Solanum lycopersicum: one gene and its partners. Each later gene encodes a partner of the first gene's protein in a complex. Links are inferred from orthologs where the notes say so. Each region holds a gene or a part of one and is shown in the gene's direction. Other genes may lie near its edges. The genes, in order: transcription initiation factor TFIID subunit 15b, transcription initiation factor TFIID subunit 10 and transcription initiation factor TFIID subunit 11.

The links.
Region 2: transcription initiation factor TFIID subunit 15b (region 1) and transcription initiation factor TFIID subunit 10 share a complex: the UniProt entries of both Arabidopsis thaliana proteins name them as parts of the TFIID complex. The link is inferred for Solanum lycopersicum from reciprocal best matches to the Arabidopsis thaliana genes TAF15b and TAFII15.
Region 3: transcription initiation factor TFIID subunit 15b (region 1) and transcription initiation factor TFIID subunit 11 share a complex: the UniProt entries of both Arabidopsis thaliana proteins name them as parts of the TFIID complex. The link is inferred for Solanum lycopersicum from reciprocal best matches to the Arabidopsis thaliana genes TAF15b and TAF11.

Annotation. Positions count from the first base shown.
Region 1 is NC_090805.1:50,535,431-50,539,891, forward strand, and holds the start of transcription initiation factor TFIID subunit 15b, read left to right. Parts: upstream 1-1,448; 5' UTR 1,449-1,682; coding exon 1,683-1,890; intron 1,891-1,961; coding exon 1,962-2,193; intron 2,194-2,951; coding exon 2,952-3,606; intron 3,607-3,879; coding exon 3,880-4,030; intron 4,031-4,113; coding exon 4,114-4,195; intron 4,196-4,461. UniProt on the Arabidopsis thaliana protein: TAFs are components of the transcription factor IID (TFIID) complex that is essential for mediating regulation of RNA polymerase transcription.
Region 2 is NC_090811.1:67,586,061-67,590,521, reverse strand, and holds the start of transcription initiation factor TFIID subunit 10, read left to right. Parts: upstream 1-2,131; 5' UTR 2,132-2,503; coding exon 2,504-2,602; intron 2,603-2,681; coding exon 2,682-2,746; intron 2,747-3,861; coding exon 3,862-3,924; intron 3,925-4,461. Other genes in the region: protein GLUTAMINE DUMPER 2, read left to right, coding at 653-1,111. UniProt on the Arabidopsis thaliana protein: TAFs are components of the transcription factor IID (TFIID) complex that is essential for mediating regulation of RNA polymerase transcription.
Region 3 is NC_090804.1:5,055,487-5,058,961, reverse strand, and holds the end of transcription initiation factor TFIID subunit 11, read left to right. Parts: intron 1-442; coding exon 443-542; intron 543-1,305; coding exon 1,306-1,433; 3' UTR 1,434-1,466; exon of another isoform or gene 1,467-1,795; intron 1,796-2,077; 3' UTR 2,078-2,656; downstream 2,657-3,475. UniProt on the Arabidopsis thaliana protein: TAFs are components of the transcription factor IID (TFIID) complex that is essential for mediating regulation of RNA polymerase transcription.

The DNA of each region.
Region 1 (4,461 bases):
TAAAATGTAATTTGACACAATCCCTTATATTAATTATATTCCCAACATATCACATATTAATAGAATGGGCAAATGACATAAATAACATACTTTTAGGCTAAATGCCCGTTTGTTCCTTATAAATTTTTAATGACCAAAATTCCTCAAAAATATACAAAAATACGGATACATAATAGGGCTGATACAATAAAAAGGTGATGGATATTTATATATTTTTTCACATTTTTGTATCCGCCTCATTTTTTGTCACAATTTTTGTATCGCCTCATTTTTTGTCACATTTTTGTATCCATCTCTATTTTTGTCAGATTTTTATATCCGTCTTATTTAATTTAAAAATAAAAAATTTAAAATATTTTTAAAACTAATAGGAAATAGCGATAATAAATGATTTTAAAAAAGCGATTTTTATCATTTTTCCTAATAGAATTGATTATCTCATCGATTACTCCCTTCAATTACAATTTACATATCAAGGGAGTGTTAACGGAACAAGTTTTGCGGTAGGGGTTTAAAGTATTTTTGCCTACCAAATTAACTTAATTTCTTGCAATTTTTATCCCCTTTTATAATCTACTTTATTTAATAATTAAAAGAAATATGTAAGGTTTGTTTTTTAGTTAATTAAAATTAGGCAGATAATAATTATAAGAAATGTAAGTGTTTAGTTATGCATACATATATTAATTATATGAATTGTTAAAATTTTAATTACATTTTATATTATTTTTATGAGCAACTTTCACATATAACAACCACAAAATTCATACTTGTATGCTATAACAAAGTTTGTATAATTACGCTCCATAGCAAATATAAACATGTATATATATATAAAAAATAGCTATATATACAAAAAAAAACAGTTGTCCAATTCATCATACATATAAAAAAAATAGTTGTATACAAAAGATTTGTATAATCTGTGTATGCATAAAACGAGAAAGAGAAAAAAGCAAAAGAAAATTGGGCAGAGAAATATTTGTATTGTATAACTATAAGTGTATAGGACGAAGAAATATATGTATTTACATGTGTATATATAATTTTTCTCTCGCTTTATACAAACAAAATCACAACTTATACATTTTGTTTTCGTTTGTATAAGCGAGAGAGGCGAGCGGATTCGGAAGAGTGGCGATCGAGATCTGGAAGAGGGGAAAGAGGAGAACGAAAATATATATATTTATACAATTTTCTCTCGCCTTATACAAACACAAAAACATTTTATACATTTGTTTTTGTATAAAAAATGAGAGAGGAGAGTGAGATCGCCACCAAACGAGAGTGGCGAACGAGATTACACCAAGAAAAGTGGTGAAAATAACAATAATTTGTTAAATAATACAATTAAATCAAAATATATTTATAACATTTAATTTGAATTAATAATTTGATATTGTATACAAGTTTTTCTATTTTTATACCTGACATCTCACCTCCTTCTCAATTACCCAACATGATACAACTTATATAAAATTATTAATAAAGCATAATTTATTTATATTTAATAACTTGGCTCCAAATCAAGGTAGGTGATTATTTGCTGGAGAAGTGGACAAAGATTTAATAAGGAAAAATATCTTGTGTAATCGGCATATAAAAGTTGACCCTTCTATCCCCATATAGTATTTTACTTTATCTTTTCTTCTCTCATTCATAAACCCTAGCTAGTGCAGTCGATGGCCGGTACGTACGGTTACGAAAGCGGCGGATCTGCTCCGCCACCAAGTGGCGGAGGAGGCGGTGGGTATGGATCGGGTGGCGGAGGATATGGTGGTTCAGGTGGTGGTTACGGAGGCAGTGGCGGATCATACGGTGGCGGCGGTAGAGGTGGCGGAGGTCGAGGAGGTGGAGGTGGAGGCTATGGTGGTAGCTCCCATAATCGAGGTATCTATTTGAATTATTACACTATGTCTGTACTTTGAATGAGTTTTATTCACATGTGGTTCTATTTACAGGAGGTGGAGGTGGATACCATGGAGGAGATCGTGGAGGTAGCGGTGGATACCAAGGAGGAGATCGTGGAGGTGGCGGTGGATACCAAGGAGGAGATCGTGGCGGTGGCGGTGGATACCAAGGAGGAGATCGTGGAGGTAGTGGTGGATACCAAGGAGGAGATCGCGGAGGTCGCGGCGGCGGTCGTGGTGGAGGAAGTGGTAAGGAAGGTGATTGGCGTTGCCCTAACCCAAGGTAATATTCTCACATCCTTCTCGTGGTTTTTCAGGTCATGTTAAATTATCCTTACTCACTTCTCCCCCTAATTCCCTTAAAATTTGTGAGACTCCTACTTAATTCCATATGAGCAAAAAAGGATTATATTTGCTTTTACTCTTGAACCTAATCCAATTGATAGTGAGGCAGCGATAGTTTGTGCAAACTCTTTCAGATAAAACAGAGGTTAATTTTTGGAAAATCATGATATCCTGTCACTAGAAATATATGATGTCCTATTTCATTACTTGTATGAAATCCTACTACCAAATTGTCCAGCCACTTTGCTCAATATAACCAGTGTTTCCTTATGCAGGTTCACTAAGAATTTATGCTTAGTTTTAATTTTTAGTTGGGTTAACCTTACACCTCTGTATAACCCTGAACAATTCTTGGATTTTGTCAACTCTCTTGTATTATGTAAGGTTCTATTTCTGCTCTTTCTAAAGCTTGCTCTTCCTACTTCTGTACATCTTGCATCCCTGGATGCTTAGTTATTTTATTAGTACTCTTTTTTTTCATAAAGAAAGAAATTTATTTTGATTCTCCTTGCCTTTGTCATTCTAATTTTAATAGTGCTTCTATCCTATTAATTTGACAAGATGTCAGTTCAGTGCGGTGGTTGTTCAAGGTTATGTATTCTGGGTTTCATTTGCTAATATTTCATTTAACATATGTTATTGTGTTTGTTACCATTTCATGTCAATTGTTATTAATTCTGGCATGTCTGGGTGTAGTTGTGGAAATTTGAACTTTGCTAGAAGAGTTGAATGTAACAAATGTGGTGCACCTTCACCTGCTGGTTCTGATGATCGTGGTGGCAGAGGTGGTAGCAGTTATAACAGAGGTGGAAGTGATGGCGGCTATGGAAATAGTCGAGGGGGAAGAGGTGACAACTATGAAAGCAGAAATGCTGGAGGTGGTAGAACTGGTTCTTATGGTGGTAGTCAGGGAAGAGATGGTGGTGGTTATGCCCAAGGTCCTCCTCATGCTCCTCCATCTTATGGGGCTGCTGATAGCAACTATCCACCACCTTCTAATACTTACGGTGGAAACCCCGATGCAGTTCCCCCGCCTGCGAGTTATGTTGGTGGACCTGCATCTTATCCCCCTTCGTATGGTGCCCCTGGTGGCTATGGTGGGGATACACCAGCTGATGCTCGTGGGGGTGGACGGGGTGGTCCACCAGGTGGATATGATGGGGGATATGGCGGTGGTGCCCGGAATACAGGAGGTGGTTATGGTAGTTCTCCAGCTGAGGCTCCGGTAAAGGTCAAGCAATGCGATGAGAATTGTGGAGATCTCTGTGACAACGCAAGAATATATATCTCAAATTTGCCTCCTGATGTGACCGTCGAAGAACTTAGAGAACTTTTTGGGAGCATTGGACAAGTAATATGCAGATTTCTTTCGGTTATGATTCTCAGTATCAGATTCATTCTGTCTTGTAGCATTTACGTTGTTCTTCTCTTAACTTCACGTGAACCCTTGCTGTGTTAATGTGGTATTGATGCCTGAGCTTAGACAGAAGGACAACCCAATACTTGCTACTTGATTTTGCAGACTAATTGCCATTGAATTGTGACAATAAAGAAGCTTACTTTTAATGACTTTCTCTTAGCATATATACCAGGGTAAGTGCTTAAGTTTCTTTTTAACGTGTAGGTTGCAAGAATCAAGCAAAAACGAGGTTACAAAGACCAGTGGCCTTGGAGCATAAAGCTATACACAGACGATCAAGGAAATAACAAAGGAGATGCAGTTCTGTCATACGAAGATCCTTCTGCAGCTCACTCTGCCGGCGGCTTTTTCAATAGTACAAACTAGACCCAAATTTATTCAATTGAGTTTACGCAGTATATTATTTACATGCTGACCATAAAATATAATCATCATCAGATCACGACTTCAGAGGTTACAAAATCACTGTAGCGATGGCTGAAAAGTCTGCACCAAAGCCGCCTCCGGCATTTGGTTCTGGGTGAGCCTTCTTAAATTACTGCATACTCTTTCTACTCCATTGCATTTTACCTCCAGTTGTGCTACAATTCACAGTTTATGTCAACTCACAACATGTCTTAGTGGTTATGCTGTGGAATGTATGCAGAGTTAGCAAGTGTGTTTAACTAGATAGTGGATGTATGGTTATTTTTATGAATTCTCCAGAGTTTTGGTTGTTTATCAAGTAGATGATCAGAGTTGTTCTTGCATCTGATGTTGACTCTAATTGCTGTGCCAAATTTCATA
Region 2 (4,461 bases), on another chromosome or scaffold:
AATGAATATTATTAGTATAAAAAGTACAAAAATTTCCTACATTTAGAGGCTAATTACATTTTACTTCGAAACTTTTCCTAATTACAGAAATTCTAAATTTTTCATTATTCTTAGATACATTCTGTGTTTGTCCGATACATTGCAAATGATACTTTACTTAACGAGAGGATATCCGAATATGAATTTTTATAATTTTTTAAAAACAAGAAATTTCAAAGATAACAATATATCATACTATCTCCGTCCATCTTTTAATTGTCTTAATTTCCTTTTTCAAAGTCAAACGATAATAACTTTAACTAATATTTTACGATATATTTTTACATCACAATGATATGCAAAAAAGAAAATTTGAAATTTATAATAATTTTGGTAAATTTTTTTCTTCTCATTAAATTTTATGATTCCCTATTGATCACTTCACCCTTCTTTTTAACTTACTTTTTCTCTTTTCACTATTCATCCACTAAATTTGTTTCATATAAATACACACATATACCATCTTTGCATTTCTCAAGCCAAGCTAAGTTTTATTTTTCTTATTTTCTTTGTTCTAAAAGTTTAATATTCGTTTCGCTCGCAAAAAATTTAATAAATTTTTCTATCGAAAAAATAAAATATTAGACATTTCATCTTCGAAAATAAAATAAAAATGCGAACAGTAAGTACCTTTACTACTGCTTCTCCATCAGTCTCTCCATCGGCGATTGTTCAAAAATCGCCATGGCATTCGCCGGCGCCGTATCTATTCGCCGGCGTAGCGTCCATGCTAGTGTTAATAACTTTTGCTTTAGTAATCCTAGCTTGTTCTTACTGGAGACGATCCGGCTATCCGAGAGAAAACGGCGATGTAGAATCCGGCGACGGCGAGAAATCGACCGGTGATGTTTTCAAGGCGTCGCCGGTTTTTGAGGAGAAAATAGTTGTGATAATGGCTGGAGATTTGAATCCAACTTTTTTGGCTACGCCTATTTCGAGTAGAGGTAATTCGTTTGGTGCTGGTGATAAAATTGAGAAGAAATTGGAAAAGGAAACTGAAGAATTTGATGATGAGAAGGCGAAAGATGAAGCTATGGATCAAGCTCATGAAGAATCTCAAATCGGCCATTGATGAAGCTACTGAGCTTTGAAAAAAAAAAAACAGAGCAATTTTCTCTATTTTTTTTTTTGAGTTCTTCCATTTTTGGTTTAATTTTTCAATTTTGAGATTCGGGAAATTGTACTCAATTTTGGTTGAGATAACAAAGAGTTAGAAAAAATTTTCGTTTTCGAGTAATATGTTTTCACGGAAATTGTTACTTCGATTTGATACGTGTTTTATTAGCTAACGATAATCATAAGAGTCATTTTGCTAAAAAATAAATAGATCGTTTTTAAATTTTTCAATGAAAAAAGTAAAATTGATGATATATTTTTAATATAATGAATGAAAAGAGTAGAATCAATTATATATCGATTTAGAAAATGAATTATTTGAAGAATCTCGAATGTATGTGCATATGTGACGTTTGCGATTTTATATCTATTGTGATTTACTAATTATATTTGATAATTTATAGTAATTAAATATGATTTAAAAATCATGCTTATTCATGCAATTTATAGGTCGTATCTATCGAATATGATATATAGTTAATCTATAAATTGAGTTACTATTAATATGTAATTTATAAATTATATTTATCTAATATAACTTTCAAATGATGCAAATCAAATGTGATATTAGTCATATTTGTGAAACATGATTTATAATCGTGCTTACCAAATCATTCAAGTACCAATTAAGTTACTCAATTGTATTGTAATTAAATTAGTTATCAAATAATATCCAAATTGTTTACTCAATAATAATATAATTCATTTTAATCTTCTATGATAGAGAAGAATAAAATGGCTAACATAAGTGATTATGAGTGTGTGTATATATATATATATATATACTTCAATGTAAATTTTAATTGCGTTTGGTTTGATAGAGAATAAAATAATTTAATTATATTTTTATTTTATAATTTTTTTAAATGTTATGAACTATCAAATTTAAAAAATAAAATAAAATATAATTTTTTTTTTTACGAAATATTATCGTTAGCTAGGTAAATATATATGCCCCTCTTCGCGAACGAATTTCACATAACAAAAATACAATTCTCCTCTATCTTAGGCCTTTTCTCATTTTTTTTCTTTTTTGCACAATTGTGGAGAAACAATTTTGAATTTTAAAAAATAATCAAAATTATAATATTTCTATATCCTAGAAGGAAAATAATATTACTTTTTCAATATGTGAGTTTAAAAATAATTTTTATATATATTTTTAAATATTTTAAATTATCGTAACCATAGTAATTTTACTTACCTATTACTAGAATATTTTTCTTCAGTTTCTTCTTCCGATTTTTTTCTCAAAGTAAAAAGGCACAAATCTTCCCCAATTTTCCTCCGGCGAAATTGAAACTCCGACCACCGCCGATCCTCCGTTGACTCTGTTTCGACGGTGAAGATGAACCAAAGTCAAGGTCAACAAACAAGTGAAGGAAGACACGAGGATGATGCTGTTCTAGCCGATTTCCTTGCTTCCTTGATGGACTATACTCCCACTGTGAGCTACTTTTTGCCCTTTTTCTTACTGAAGAGATCAATTTTATGTTTTATTTATGTAGGTTAACGCTTTTGATCAGATTCCTGATGAATTGGTGGAGCATTACTTGGGTAAAAGTGGATTTCAATGTCCTGATGTTCGATTGTATGTATTTTCTTCCCATTCTTATGTTGATGTTTCTGCAATTTAGCCTGCTTAGATTAGTTATAGAAAAATTGTTTGGATTGCTCATAAGGAAGATATGATTTTCGTGTGTTTATCTAGAACTATTTTCACTAGGTTTATCCTCTGTCTTGAGCTAACCGTAGTCTTTAAACTCGAATACGATGAACGCGCTCCTCAACCTACGTTTATTTTGCTTGGCGTAGCGAAAGCTCTACACTTTTGCCAAGTGAGCTAAGCCCTGGGGGTTCAAAGGGAGATATTATGTTACTGCAGCAAACAAATAAATTGGGCAAAGGTGCCCATATAATGATGTAAAATCCAGCTTGGGAGGATGTCCTCCCAAGATATTTCCTTCAACGAAGTAATAGAAAACTTAGCTGAATTATGTGCTAGTTTTGTTTAGACTTCTCGGAATATGAACAAAGTCTACATGATCAAGCAAGCTCTTAGCTTCCAAATGTCTTCACAAGTCACCTCTATCTCCCATGAGGTAGTTAACTTTTTCCTGAATCATAATCAATAACACTCTTTGCTTCCAATAGGATTCTCACATCCTTCCAATTGTTCCTGATTGTACGTTCAAGAGCCACTCTTAAAGCAAGTGCTTCAACAGTCATAGCTTTTCCCGCAAACTGGATTGGGGAAACATGGGCATGAATCAGTTTTCCAAGGCTTTCCAGAGCTGCAACACCAATATTTGCCAGTCCAGTATCCACCTGTAAACCTGCATCAGTAAACAATAATATAACATCTTGGTGGGTTGTTGGTGGAGCCGCAAGGCAATACCCATTTTTATGAAAATTAGATGAGCAATTAGCTGAATATCTTTATACTCGTAGCAATCAAACAGTGACTAAGCGGCAGTATTCTCTAGTTCCGTTTTTGTTTTGATCGTTTTCTATTTATCTGGTTTAGCAGTAAATTCAAGTAAAATTTATATATCTGTGAATTGGATTGGTATTTACCTTTTTACAAGTTGTAAATTTTAATATTGTAGCATTTGATGTTTTGTTTGACAGTGATGGCTGGTTTATCTTATGTTATCAGTTTTTAATACTGTGTTGTTGTATTGAGTTTTTCCTTTGGATATGCAGAATAAGGTTGGTGGCAGTTGCTACTCAGAAGTTTATTGCAGATGTGGCTACTGATGCTCTCCAGTATGTTTCTTAATTATTTTATTTTTCTTGAATTCTGTTTCCTCCTCCATCTTATGTTAAGTATGCTGCTAATTCTTCGGCATATTGCTCATCGATTGTCCCCTACTCTTGAGGCTTCAATGCAATTGTTGCCTGTCTAGGTGTTTGTCATTGTATGATCCTTCCAACTTTTAAGTGTTCAAGTTGTTCTCCTCCCCCAAACCTTAAAAAAACTCTTTTTGGTTCGTCTCTAATGAATTAGAAACATTAAGTTGGTAATTTTAGAATCCAAGCCTGTTATATTTTTAAAGACTGCCGACCCTAACTTGACTACACTACCAAAAATACAACACCTGAAATTCTCTATTGTTAGCGCAATAATACTACTACCTCAGGAGATTATTGTGTCTGTGACACTCCAAAACCTTAGAAAAGAGACAAAGAAACAGAAAAATACAATATAAAGAAACTAAGATATGACTTGAGTAGACATGTAGAAAGACCTTGTTTCAGAATATATGATTACAAATAACAAAGCATCCAACTTTCTCTGAACTT
Region 3 (3,475 bases), on another chromosome or scaffold:
GTCTTAGATAGCTTCTGCTGTATCTGAAAAAGAAGCTTCTGGGAGTTCTGAGGAGACCCATGAGAAATGCTGTGGTGGGGTTTCATTTTCTTTTGTATAGTTTTAAAGTTTTGGTTTGTAATTTTCAGTTCTTGCTTTCCCAGATTGGGTATATTGTTGTTGTTTGACTTGAGATGGCCTTGTTACGTGATATTGGACCAATCCCTAACATTAGCCTATTGAAGCACATTCTTTTTGTCTTTCATTGCACACATGTAATGTTAGAATTCATTTTCTCAATAGACGCGTAACTGTCAGATGATTGAGAATGAAGCCAAATCTTTGTGAATATGTGAGGATCTTGTGCAAGCCTTAGGGCCATTGAGATATTTGCTTTTCCAGTCTGATCATTTATTGTGCATAATTTATTTTTTGTCGTGACTCTTGTGTGTTGTCGATGCAGTTGCTGACCAACATCACAGGAAGTGCAAAGATATCTATTCCTATGACAATTGTGGTGTCTGGGATAGCAAAAATGTTTGTCGGTGAGCTTATTGAAACAGGTAAATAGACAGATCCACTTGTTATAGAGATAATTGATGAAGCAAACGTTTATCCTTTATTTGGGAATAGCAAGGATGACTTGTCGTTGGAATGATCTTATTTTCGTTCTATTCTTAGACACTAGTGCACAGCTCCAAAATATTTGCCAAACTATAATCAGTTTCTGACCAATTTGCAACAATGAGGCATTAAAAGCCCAAGACCAGTAATATTATCCGTTACTGAGCATGTTGGTTAACATTCATTTGGAACACTTTACCCCTTTAAAGTAACAAAAGAGTGGCTCTAAAATGTCTTCTATGTACTCACACATCGTACCTATGCTAAGTAAGCACCCGCCAATGTGTCTGAAATTGCATTTGACGTGTCTGACTGGTTAAGGATGTTTGGCACTATAACTAGGGAAAACATAGGACTTTTTAGCAAGAACAATAAAATGACTCTCCTGCCTCAGTGTTGGCCCAGGCACTGCCCTCCTTTGTTCCTAGTGGTCTCTGTTACCCTCTACCTGTAAAAGCTCACTGTCACATTGTTTCTCTGCTTTTCCTTTCCCTTCTTCAAAAGATCGATAGAATCAACTGAATATTTCGTAAACCTAGGTGAACACGTTTAACCAATTTCCAGTCTAATTATGCAGTAAAGAGTTGCCAATCTTTAGTGTTTCAAGGTGGAAGTGTCCTCAGTTAAATAAAGTTGAAGGGCTATACTGCATTGATTTTCTCCAAGTAATGGTGCTCACTCATCTTACAATACCTTTTGCAGCTAAAATGGTGATGGCAGAGAGAAAAGATACTGGCCCAATCAGGCCATGCCACATAAGAGAAGCATATAGAAGGTTAAAACTTGAAGGCAAGATTCCAAAAAAATCAGTGCCAAGGCTTTTCCGGTAGTGAACGTGGAAGCAACCTGTAGTTATATTTCAGGTTCATTGTCTTCCTATTGCTTACAAGTCCTCTAATGTGTCTATGTTGAATTGTCGCAAATCCTTAATTATCTTGCACTTCCAGGTCAAGTAAACATTGCTAGTCACAAAGTTGTCGAGTTAGGACACTTTTGCATTGCCTATTATATATGGGGTTAATCTGTTAATTAAATTACTTAATTAGAGGGAAGGAGTTTAACATTTGTGAAAATATTTGTACTGCCCGTAACCTGGAACTGAAAATGATGGAAGGAGAACACTAAGATTGCAACATCTTGGCTAAAATAACAGCATCATTGTATTTTTGGGCAAATCATCATTGTGACCATGGTCGAGTTTGTTGACCATGTTGTGAATTTCTCAATGCACTTGGATGAAAGAGAAAATTGGAGTGACGGGACAACAATGCTTCTTCACCATGTTGTGTGGAGGAGGCATCACAACGGTCCTAAACTTTATCAAGTAGAAAAGAAACCAAAAGATAATTCAGATCAGTTTGATTGTTCTTCTCTTTAATTCTAACTGTGGACGTTGTCGTTCATTTTCAAAATCATTTGTTCACGCTCTTAAGTTTTTACAATGTTTCTCATCCCTTGTTCTCCATTCTCTCAGATTTGTAGTAGTCAGCCACTTTCCTCGCAGAAAGGCGTAAGGATGAACTTGTAAATCTTGGACGAAAAGATTCATGAGGTGTACCTTTACAAGGTGAGGCTTTAGCTTCTCTTTGAAATGTTGGGGTTCCATTAAAGAAGTAAATTTCGAGGGGCATCAGCCATGGTGGGAAGAGAGCTCTCACCTTGACGAAAGGATTGGCAGGACGAAGATCCTGAACAAATTGTTTCTTAACTGTGTAGTTTTTGGTGTTGGTACATTGAGTTTCAGCTGTTGCCATCATTTTTCCCTTTTTCCAGAAGGGCATACTTAGGATACATGAAATTATGAAAATAGTAGAAAATGTTTGGAAAAAACAGATCGAGTTAAGTGGCATTCCAAGTTTATTGTCTCTTTTCCACCTACTTAATTCCCCCGACCCGTTCCGGATCATCCCAAACCCCGTTACCCCGAACCCCCACTTTCCAACCCCCTTTCGTTTTGTTAGATATCATATAAATAGTATTGGAATAATGTTTTCCTGCTTAACTTACCAAACATAAGAAAATAAATAAGAAATCTACTTGATTGCTGAGAAAACATTTTTTAGAAAATCATTTTCGGCTAAAAATATTTTCCTTTCCTACCAAACACACTTGGATATTGAAAAAATCAATCATTTGTTAAGTGTATACATTAAAAGGATAATAGTATAAAATGACAAACTAATAACGTAAAATAAATATAGTAGCTACCGTTTGATTTATTTGTATTCCATAGCAAACGGTTTGTCAGTCGCCTCTCTCCCTCATATTCTCGCTCGCCACTCTACCTCTATTGTTCGCTCCCAGTCGCTCGCCGCTCTCGCTTTATACAATAGAGCGAAAATTGTATAAAGCGAGAGAAAATTGTATATATACATACAAATACATATATCTTCATCCTATAAACTTATAATTATACAATGCAAATATTTTTCTGCCCAATTTTCTATTGTCTTATTCTCTTTCTTGTTTTATACATACACAAATTATACAATTGATTTGTTTAATTTTTTGCATTTGTATAAGGATACTTTTGTATAATGTTCATTTAGACATATACTATAGCACAAACTTATACACATACATAAATTGAAGTATGTTTGTATAATGTATATATATTGAATCATACATCCAAACTAAGGACGAATATAAGTATACATGTTTTCTCTTTTTTCTTTACTTTATACAATTTCTTCTGCACTGCATAAATATAGTAATTATACGATTCACCAAACAACGATTCATCGGTAATTAACAAATAAATGTTTTTTCCTTTCTCTTTACTTTATACAATTTCTTCTGCATTGTATAAATATACTTATTATACAATTCATCAAACAACGATTCATCCATAACAAACTACAATTTTACTTCG